Linked DNA regions of Drosophila melanogaster. The protein of the gene in region 1 interacts with the protein of each later gene in a pairwise test. Each region holds a gene or a part of one and is shown in the gene's direction. Other genes may lie near its edges. The genes, in order: wge and CG16753.

Region 1 (5,094 bases):
CTCGGTTTCGGGGCCCAAGCGACCGCACGATCGCGTTTCAGTTTCCAGCATGTGCGAAGACTTCAAGTCGTGCCTCATAAGTCCTGTCGGCTTCAAGGGATTCGCCATACCACCGAGTGCATTGGCTGCAAGTGGTGAATTCCAATGGGACGATGGGAAGAGCTATAAGATAGGTCATGGATCTGTTGTGATTGCCGCCATCACCTCGTGCACGAACACTTCGAATCCCTCGGTGATGTTGGGCGCTGGTCTGCTGGCCAAGAATGCCGTGCAGAAGGGCTTGAGTATTTTGCCGTATATCAAGACCTCATTGTCACCAGGATCTGGCGTGGTTACCTACTATCTGAGGGAATCCGGTGTGATTCCCTATCTGGAGCAGCTGGGCTTCGACATTGTGGGCTATGGCTGTATGACCTGCATTGGCAACTCGGGCCCGCTCGATGAGAACGTAGTGAACACCATCGAGAAGAACGGACTGGTTTGCTGTGGCGTCCTGTCGGGCAATCGCAATTTCGAGGGTCGCATCCATCCCAATACTAGGGCCAATTATCTGGCCAGTCCGCTGCTGGTGATTGCCTACGCGATTGCCGGCCGTGTGGATATTGATTTCGAGATCGAACCGCTGGGCGTGGATTCCAACGGCAAGGAGGTGTTCCTGCGCGATATCTGGCCAACGCGCAGTGAGATTCAGGAGGTAGAGCATAAGCACGTCATTCCCGCCATGTTCCAGGAGGTGTACAGTGAGTATAGCTAGCTGACTAAGATTTTTCCGCAGCTCTAGGCTAACTGTGTCCGCTATCACAGGCAAAATTCAACTGGGATCCAGGGACTGGCAAACGTTGGAGGTGTCGGATAGCAAGTTGTATCCATGGAGTGAAATATCAACATACATCAAACTACCACCGTTCTTCGAGGGTATGACTCGTGCGCTGCCCAAACTTAAAGGTATCGAGAAGGCTCGCTGTCTGCTGCTTCTCGGTGATTCAGTGACCACCGATCATATCTCGCCAGCCGGATCCATTGCACGAAAGTCACCGGCAGCGCGCTATTTGTCGGAAAGGGGTCTAACGCCGCGCGACTTTAATTCGTATGGATCCAGACGTGGCAATGATGCGGTGATGGCACGCGGAACCTTTGCCAACATCCGTCTGGTCAATAAACTGGCATCCAAGACGGGACCCAGCACACTGCACGTGCCCAGTGGCGAGGAGATGGACATCTTCGATGCGGCGGAACGGTATGCGAGCGAAGGAACACCTTTGGTTCTGGTCGTAGGCAAGGACTACGGCAGTGGCAGCTCACGTGATTGGGCCGCCAAGGGGCCATTTCTGCTGGGCATCAAGGCGGTGATTGCTGAATCGTACGAGCGCATTCACCGCTCAAATCTGGTGGGCATGGGCATCATTCCGCTGCAGTTCTTGCCTGGCCAGAGCGCCGATACCCTGAAACTGAGTGGCAGGGAGGTGTACAACATTGTCCTGCCCGAGGGCGAACTGAAGCCGGGCCAGAGGATTCAGGTCGATGCTGATGGCAATGTCTTTGAGACCACGTTGCGTTTCGACACCGAGGTGGACATAACGTACTACAAGAATGGCGGCATTTTGAACTATATGATACGCAAAATGCTGGATTAGTTAGTGCGTTCGTTGACTTTTATATTCCATATGCATTTCTAGGCGACTTTTAATTGTTATTATGTGCTGGGAAATAAAATTTGACATTCATCTGTGAGATGATAATTATTAAAAAAAAAATATTTCAAATATTTTATAATATTTTAAATTGCGCGCTCTGGATGTTATCGATAGCAGAAATGCCGATGGCCAAACCAGTCCTGCTAAAAATGCCTAACGCCTGCTGGTGAATCATCGACAAGGCAGCAATAAAATCGAATAGTCCCTGTTATATCGCTGTTAACTTAACATAGTTCGCTGCTTCTTTTTTTGTCCGTCCCGTGGACTTTTCTCCAGAGGATTTTGATTCCAATTCGCAAAAGAAAAACATAAATAAGCAACAGATCGTGTGTTGGCCAATAGCTCTGCAGCCAGTGCTCGATATTCACTTGGAAGAACCGCGCAAAAACGCAACAACGCAGCAGGAAAGTCGCGCCTCCGCCTCCCCACCAAAAAAAAAAAACACAAAAAAAAAGAAAAGATCTCGGATCGCACAGGGTTTTATTTTGGGCAACCGCACTTGGACTGGTGGGTGCTTCGGTTCCCTCGACCTGTGGATAGTGCCCAGTGGCGTCGCGTCGCTTTGGATTATGTCATTTGTTTATGGGGAATTGCCGCAGGCCCAGTAGCCAATGTTGCATCCGAAAGAGGCAGCGAAAACCTGTAAAAATGTAGACTGTGTGCGTGTGTGTGTGGGCCAGTGCTAGTGTGTGTCCGTGTGCCGTGTGTGTCCACGTGTGTTTGTGTGTGCGGATAATGGACGTTTAGTTTTTGGTCGAATCCGCAAGATATATAGTGAAATAGGTATAGGCTAGAGATCCCAGGGAGCGGTAGCCATACATATATGTGCACAGCCACCGCTACCCGATGGCCACGTTTAATCCTGGCGCCAGCAGCAGTGCCGCCGACGTTCTGAGCGCCACCACAGCAACGGCTACTTTTCTGGTGCCCACCACTGCGGCAGTATCGCATCCTGGTGCCCATACCGCCCATCTGCAGCTGGATCAATTCGGAGGCTTCTCCGCGGCGACGGCCACTCCCCTGCAGCACCATCACCATCAGCAGACCAACTCGTCGTACACTTTTGTGCAGATCAAGAGGGAACCCTGCCAGGTGTCCGAAATAAGCTCGAACAATTGCCACCAGCAACAGCAGCAACATCACCAACACCACCAGCACCAGGTGCAGCATCAGGGCCTGTCTTCCGCCTCGATGACCGCCTCCTCCAAGACCATGTCCTCCTCCACACTGACCACTCTCGTCAAAATAGAGGCTCCCTCGCCAAAGGTATCGGAATTGGAAAAGTCCACAGGTAGGTGACACCCAGCCACTGGTCAAGAGCACTCCTCATCGGTTAATTACGATTCTATCAGGCAACTCCGTTCCCATTGGCATCGCCGTGGCCAGGAAACGCCCGCAAGAAGCTCTGGTGCCGGCTATCAACACCCCCGCTACGCTGCCGCTGCAGCCACCACTCAACAAGGACTTGAACTGCTTCGGCATACGCGTCGCTGACCTCGGTGAGTGCCAAGCTACACAGAGAGAAATGCAGCTTCATCTCATGGAAATAATAAGTTCTTAGTGATATTCAAGGGGATGTAAACTGTTTTAAGGTATCTGCTATCTTTGAGATACCAAATGATTTACTTAAAGAATCATTAGATATTTCTAGATGCTGTTTTCCATTTGTGTTAAATGATATGTAAATTTAAGACAATCACTGTCTTGTGCCATACATTTTTTCCATCCGTGTAACTTCTGGGCATCTAATTCAATTGAGTCACCAGATTTGAGCGCCCCTAATGAACGGCGCTTCCCAAGGGACAACGTTATATGATGCTTATGATGCCAGGACGTGGACGTCGTTCAATTATGCCACTAATAAGATTGCCAACAAACGTTCAGCGCTGTGCGGAATTCCATCAGTGAGCAATGGCCGAGGGTGTCGTCTCCGCCTTAAACAACCCGCTGGAGTTTAGAGGGCAGGAATCATATGATGGCCGCCTGTTGTGCGGCTGTCGTTGTTGTGACAGCCACCGAATCGACTGGATTCGACTCAAAACGGCTCATCCCCATATCCATCCTCCCTTGCGGGCAGAAGGAAACCCGGTGGTAAATCATACGAACTTCTAAAGCGGAAGTGAAACGAAAGTGAAACACATTGCGATTTGAGAAGGGAGGCTTTGCGTCGCCTTGGCTCTGGTCGACTTGAAATTGCTCTTTAGATGGGCACATAAATATGTTTATATTTTTTTGGGGGTGTGTTTTGTCGCCGTAGCCAGTCGAATTACATTTTCCGGATTATTTTTAAAGTCTGCTAATGGTGAAATAATCAACCATGCCCATGACACGAACATGAACTTTATGATCTTGGATGGGTTACTTTTTCATATCAATCTATTTACAAAATAGTACCAGATGTGCCATAGCCTTAATCAAAGAGCAAGAGTACAGGAAACTGTGTACTTTGTTTTAATCACTACATGGAATTTCATGTTATTCTTTAAATGATAACGTCTATAAATGGTTAGAGCAATATGATGGCAGGGAAATGAATCATTACACTTAACTAAATGAATATATAATTTGTATTGCTTTGACTTTACAAAGTTGCACTTATTTTTTGTTATTTTTACCTGGAATCTCCATTTACTCATTTATTATTATCAACTCTGATAAAATTGAAGTCACAAGCTACTTTTTGCGGGGGTTTTTATTTTTATATATCTATTAAACTAGAAGTTCAACGCTGCTATAAAAATCCAATGCAAAAACAGATTGAAATTTTGTTTTTATATCTATTCTGGGTATTTCCCAGAAGTTCTCTTTTAGTAAGAAACTCTGACAGAACAGCTCATTCTCGATTGAGGGTGTTTATTTTCATGCATCAAATACGTTTTCCTTTTAGATTTTTAGAATGACTTCAGAAAATACATATTTTTAGCGGGTTCTAGTGCTTTTGAGTGCAGAAAAAAACCCTTATAAAGTAGGCGCATTACTTATGGTTCGGCAATGAGCAGAGTATCGAGGGCTTCGGCTTAGTTAGCATGCTCCAATGGAGCTGAAGCTAAAGTTCCAGTTGCGTGGGCGCCATTCAGAGGAACATCAGAGCGGGAATCCAAAGACAGATTACTCATGGACTCATGGTGCTCGGGTGGGTTGTTTTTTCAGACTTCAGACAAGGTAGCAGCGGTGGCTGTTGCTAGAAGTAGTCTGGAATCTGTGTGTGTGTGTGTGTGTGTGTGTGTGGGGGAACCAGGAACAAGTAAGGCATCACCTATAAGGGATGCTCGAGCTGGATGCTCGGATGCATGAGTGGTTCTCCGGGGATGGGAAACTAAAGGGGAACTGGGTAACAAACCGGGCGAATCATCCTCCAGGACACAGGACCTAGCAACATGACACGCCGAATTGGATTCAG
Region 2 (3,271 bases), on another chromosome or scaffold:
TGCCAGCTGGACGAAGAGCTCCATGAACTGGTTCTCGTATGCCCTGTTCCTTCTCACCCGCCAGTCACGATTCCTCGCCGGCAGCGTTCTCCAACTGATGAATGGCCAGGTCACTCCAAGGCTACTCTTCGAGATAATGAACAACAAGAAGTTGAAGCAGGCTCTGATGCAGAAGAAGGCGCGCGTGGAGCTGTTGGACTCGTGGATCCTGCACAAGCTAAGAACTGGCAGCAGTCGCGATAAGGATGTGGAGCACATAACCGATGTGACCTCGAGTACGGCGACGGGTTTGTACGATCCGTTCACGCTCAGCTGGTCGCCGCTTATAAGCTGGCTATTCGGCATCAATGTGAGTTGGCTATATCCTCCATCAGGCTCTATTTGCATTCATTTGCTTCCATTGCAGTCAAAAATCTTGCCGCGTGTGGTGGACAACGGCTACAAGGGCTTTGGGCATGTGCATCCTACTGCCTTCGGTCCGGATTGGGCCAACACAGAGATACCCATTGCTGCCTCTTTAAGTGACCAAACAGCAGCCATTTGGGGCTCGCAGTGTTTCCAGAAGAACGACGTCAAGGTCACAATGGGTACTGGTGCGTTCCTTAATCTGGTAACAGGCGATCGTTGCCAAGCTGTCATCTCTGGCATGTATCCATTGGTGGCCTGGCAGTTCAAGAAACCAACCAGGCAGCAGGGAGCTGTCTACTGCATTGAGGGAGCATCCCATGACTTTGGCACCGTGGTCACTTGGGCGCAATCGTGCGAGCTCTTCGATAGTCCAGCGAACACCTCAGATATTGCACAGTCCGTTCCAGATACGAACGATGTGTTCTTCATGCCGGCCTTCAGTGGCCTGGGGGTATGTTTTTTAAAGCACTTTTGCAACTGGTTCAAGATTACCTAATCCCCATCTTATCTTTGACAGCCCCCGGTGAACGATTATCGGTCAGCAAGTGGCTTTATTGGCCTCACTCCGTCCACCACCAAAGCCCACATGGTGCGGGCTCTGCTCGAGAGCATAGTATTTCGTCTGGTGCAGCTGATCGAGGCCGCTGAGAAGGAGACCTCTCAGAAGCTTCATATGATTAGGTATTTCTGTCTATCCATCTTAACCAATTTTACATTGCACTTATTTTCTTCTATTTTAGGGTTGATGGCGGCGTCTCCCGCAATGACTTCGTCTGCCAATTCCTTGCGGATCTCAGCCGACTGCGGGTGGAGCGGGCGGACAATGCGGAGAGCAGCATCATGGGAGCCACGTTCATGGCGGGCATCAACCTCGGAATCTGGCGCGATGTGAACGATCTCAAACGTTTCCGGAAAGTGGCGCGAGTCTTTGAACCGCGTCCCAAGGAGTACGAAACCATTGCCAACCGGATGGACAAATGGAGCCGGACGATTGCCCGGTTTAGTGACTGGTATTAGGTTAAACTTTTATTCTCTGTCTTTGTTATTTGTTATTCATTAGTCACTTAGAAGGCTAGGTAGTTGGTAAATAAAATGCTGAATTTATATATTACATACGTTTTTATGGGCTGTGGAATATATATATATTTTAAATGACATATTTAAGTGCTAATCTTCGAAGCTGAATAATAAATTTCAAATATATTAACCAACAATCAGCTTGCCGCCGATAACCGATAACGAAGCACTGTTATTGTCATCGCTAACCATACCGGGTGTGGTGACACTGATTTTGGGGCTTAGCACGCTGCACGTTTGTTTTTATTTTGATTTTGTTGGTGCACAAATCGCAGTAGAATGGCAAAAACGAAGAAAAATGTAAGGGCCAAGGCGAAAAGCGTGGTGGGGGCGGCCAAGCAGAAGGCTCAGGACATGAAGGCCAAGCTGCGCGAGGATCGTCTGCTCCACAAGACCCTTACGCCCAAGAAGACGACCACCAAGAAGGAGAAATCCGAGGCGAAACACAAGAAGCTGCTCAAGAGATTCGCCGAAGCGCGTAAGAAACGCAAGGAGGAGCACAAGAATCGCGAGAAGACCAAAGTTGTCGGAGATCTAAAACCACTGCGGGATGCCCTACCCTCGCTGCAGGACATCTACAAGCTGGTGAAGACCAAGCAAAAGGATGTCTCCGAGGGGGCAGCCCTCACAGAACCAGAGGTCCGACTGAGTGCCAACGAGAAGATCCGGAAAAAACGCACTGAAATGGTCAACACCGTCAAGTCCTTCGAAAAGCTCATCAAAGACAAGAACTTCAAGAAGAATCCCCGCGAAGTCATCGCCGCCCATGTGCGCAACAAGTACCAGGCGATGGAAGAGGACGACTACGAATAGAAGCCTCAAATCAGCAGATTAATTATTTTTAGGTATAAACATAAATAATACAAGGATTGTAAAGAAATATACGATGACGCAAGTATGTTAGTCCAAAACTATGAAAAACGTTACTAATTGAGCACTGTAAAATAAACTGTGCATATCTAGAACAATTTATGATCAATGTTTAGAGCTAAAAAATTCAGTTGCCCCCAAGAAGAAAACAGGTGGATTTTGTTTATTAAGAAGTATCTTTATTATATATGCATTAGGTATAGTTATCATTTAACGATGCATATAAATATTACACGTACGAATGTAAGTTGTAAGCATTAAATCGTAAGAGGGTCAACAGAACGAGGATTAGACAAGATTCGAACGTGAGGACTTTTGGGGGGATCTTTGCATTTTACGGCCCGGGCTATGTGATCGTAGTTAGTCTATCGCTACGTTATATCATAGAGCGTTCTATATGCGCCTGCTTAGGGTTCGAATTTCAACTTGGTGTTGTTCTTCTTACAGTGAAAACGGAGCCGTGGACTCGAGGTCCTTGCGTCCGGACAGTTAATCTACGGCTATTTTATGGTTATTATCGGTATTATCGCGTTAGCGTGGGCTGGCTCCTTCCTGTGAGATCATTAAACGCTAGTCAAACACACATCAGTCGTCTTGTCCATCGTATCGTATCCATTTCGCCACCAGCACTAACAGTAGAGTTAACATAGCTATTGAAAGGTGTCTCCATAAAATGGCGCTATCTCATCTCATGTACAAAATGTAGCCGAATCTACACTAAACTTAGGTTACAACCTACCGCGTTACGTCTGCGTGATCTTAAACTTCATTGAAACATGAACGGGATCGGGAACGGGTTGCGGGCTATCGGGAAGCGGTTCTCGGTTAGGCCCAGGCTCGTCGTTACCGCCTCGAAGTATTACATATACATTGATAGAAAATATAAGTCAACTATATCTAGGTTTTGCACATTCAA

The links.
Region 2: the proteins of wge (region 1) and CG16753 interact in a two-hybrid assay, tested with the Drosophila melanogaster proteins (one large-scale study listed by BioGRID).

Annotation. Positions count from the first base shown.
Region 1 is NT_033777.3:22,717,970-22,723,063, reverse strand, and holds the start of wge (winged eye), read left to right. Parts: upstream 1-1,913; 5' UTR 1,914-2,540; coding exon 2,541-2,985; intron 2,986-3,046; coding exon 3,047-3,193; intron 3,194-5,094. Other genes in the region: Irp-1A (iron regulatory protein 1A), read left to right, coding at 1-740, 805-1,634.
Region 2 is NT_037436.4:3,053,392-3,056,662, forward strand, and holds CG16753 (uncharacterized protein), read left to right. Parts: upstream 1-1,687; 5' UTR 1,688-1,764; coding exon 1,765-2,298; 3' UTR 2,299-2,451; downstream 2,452-3,271. Other genes in the region: CG1271 (uncharacterized protein), read left to right, coding at 1-349, 407-859, 926-1,089, 1,149-1,425.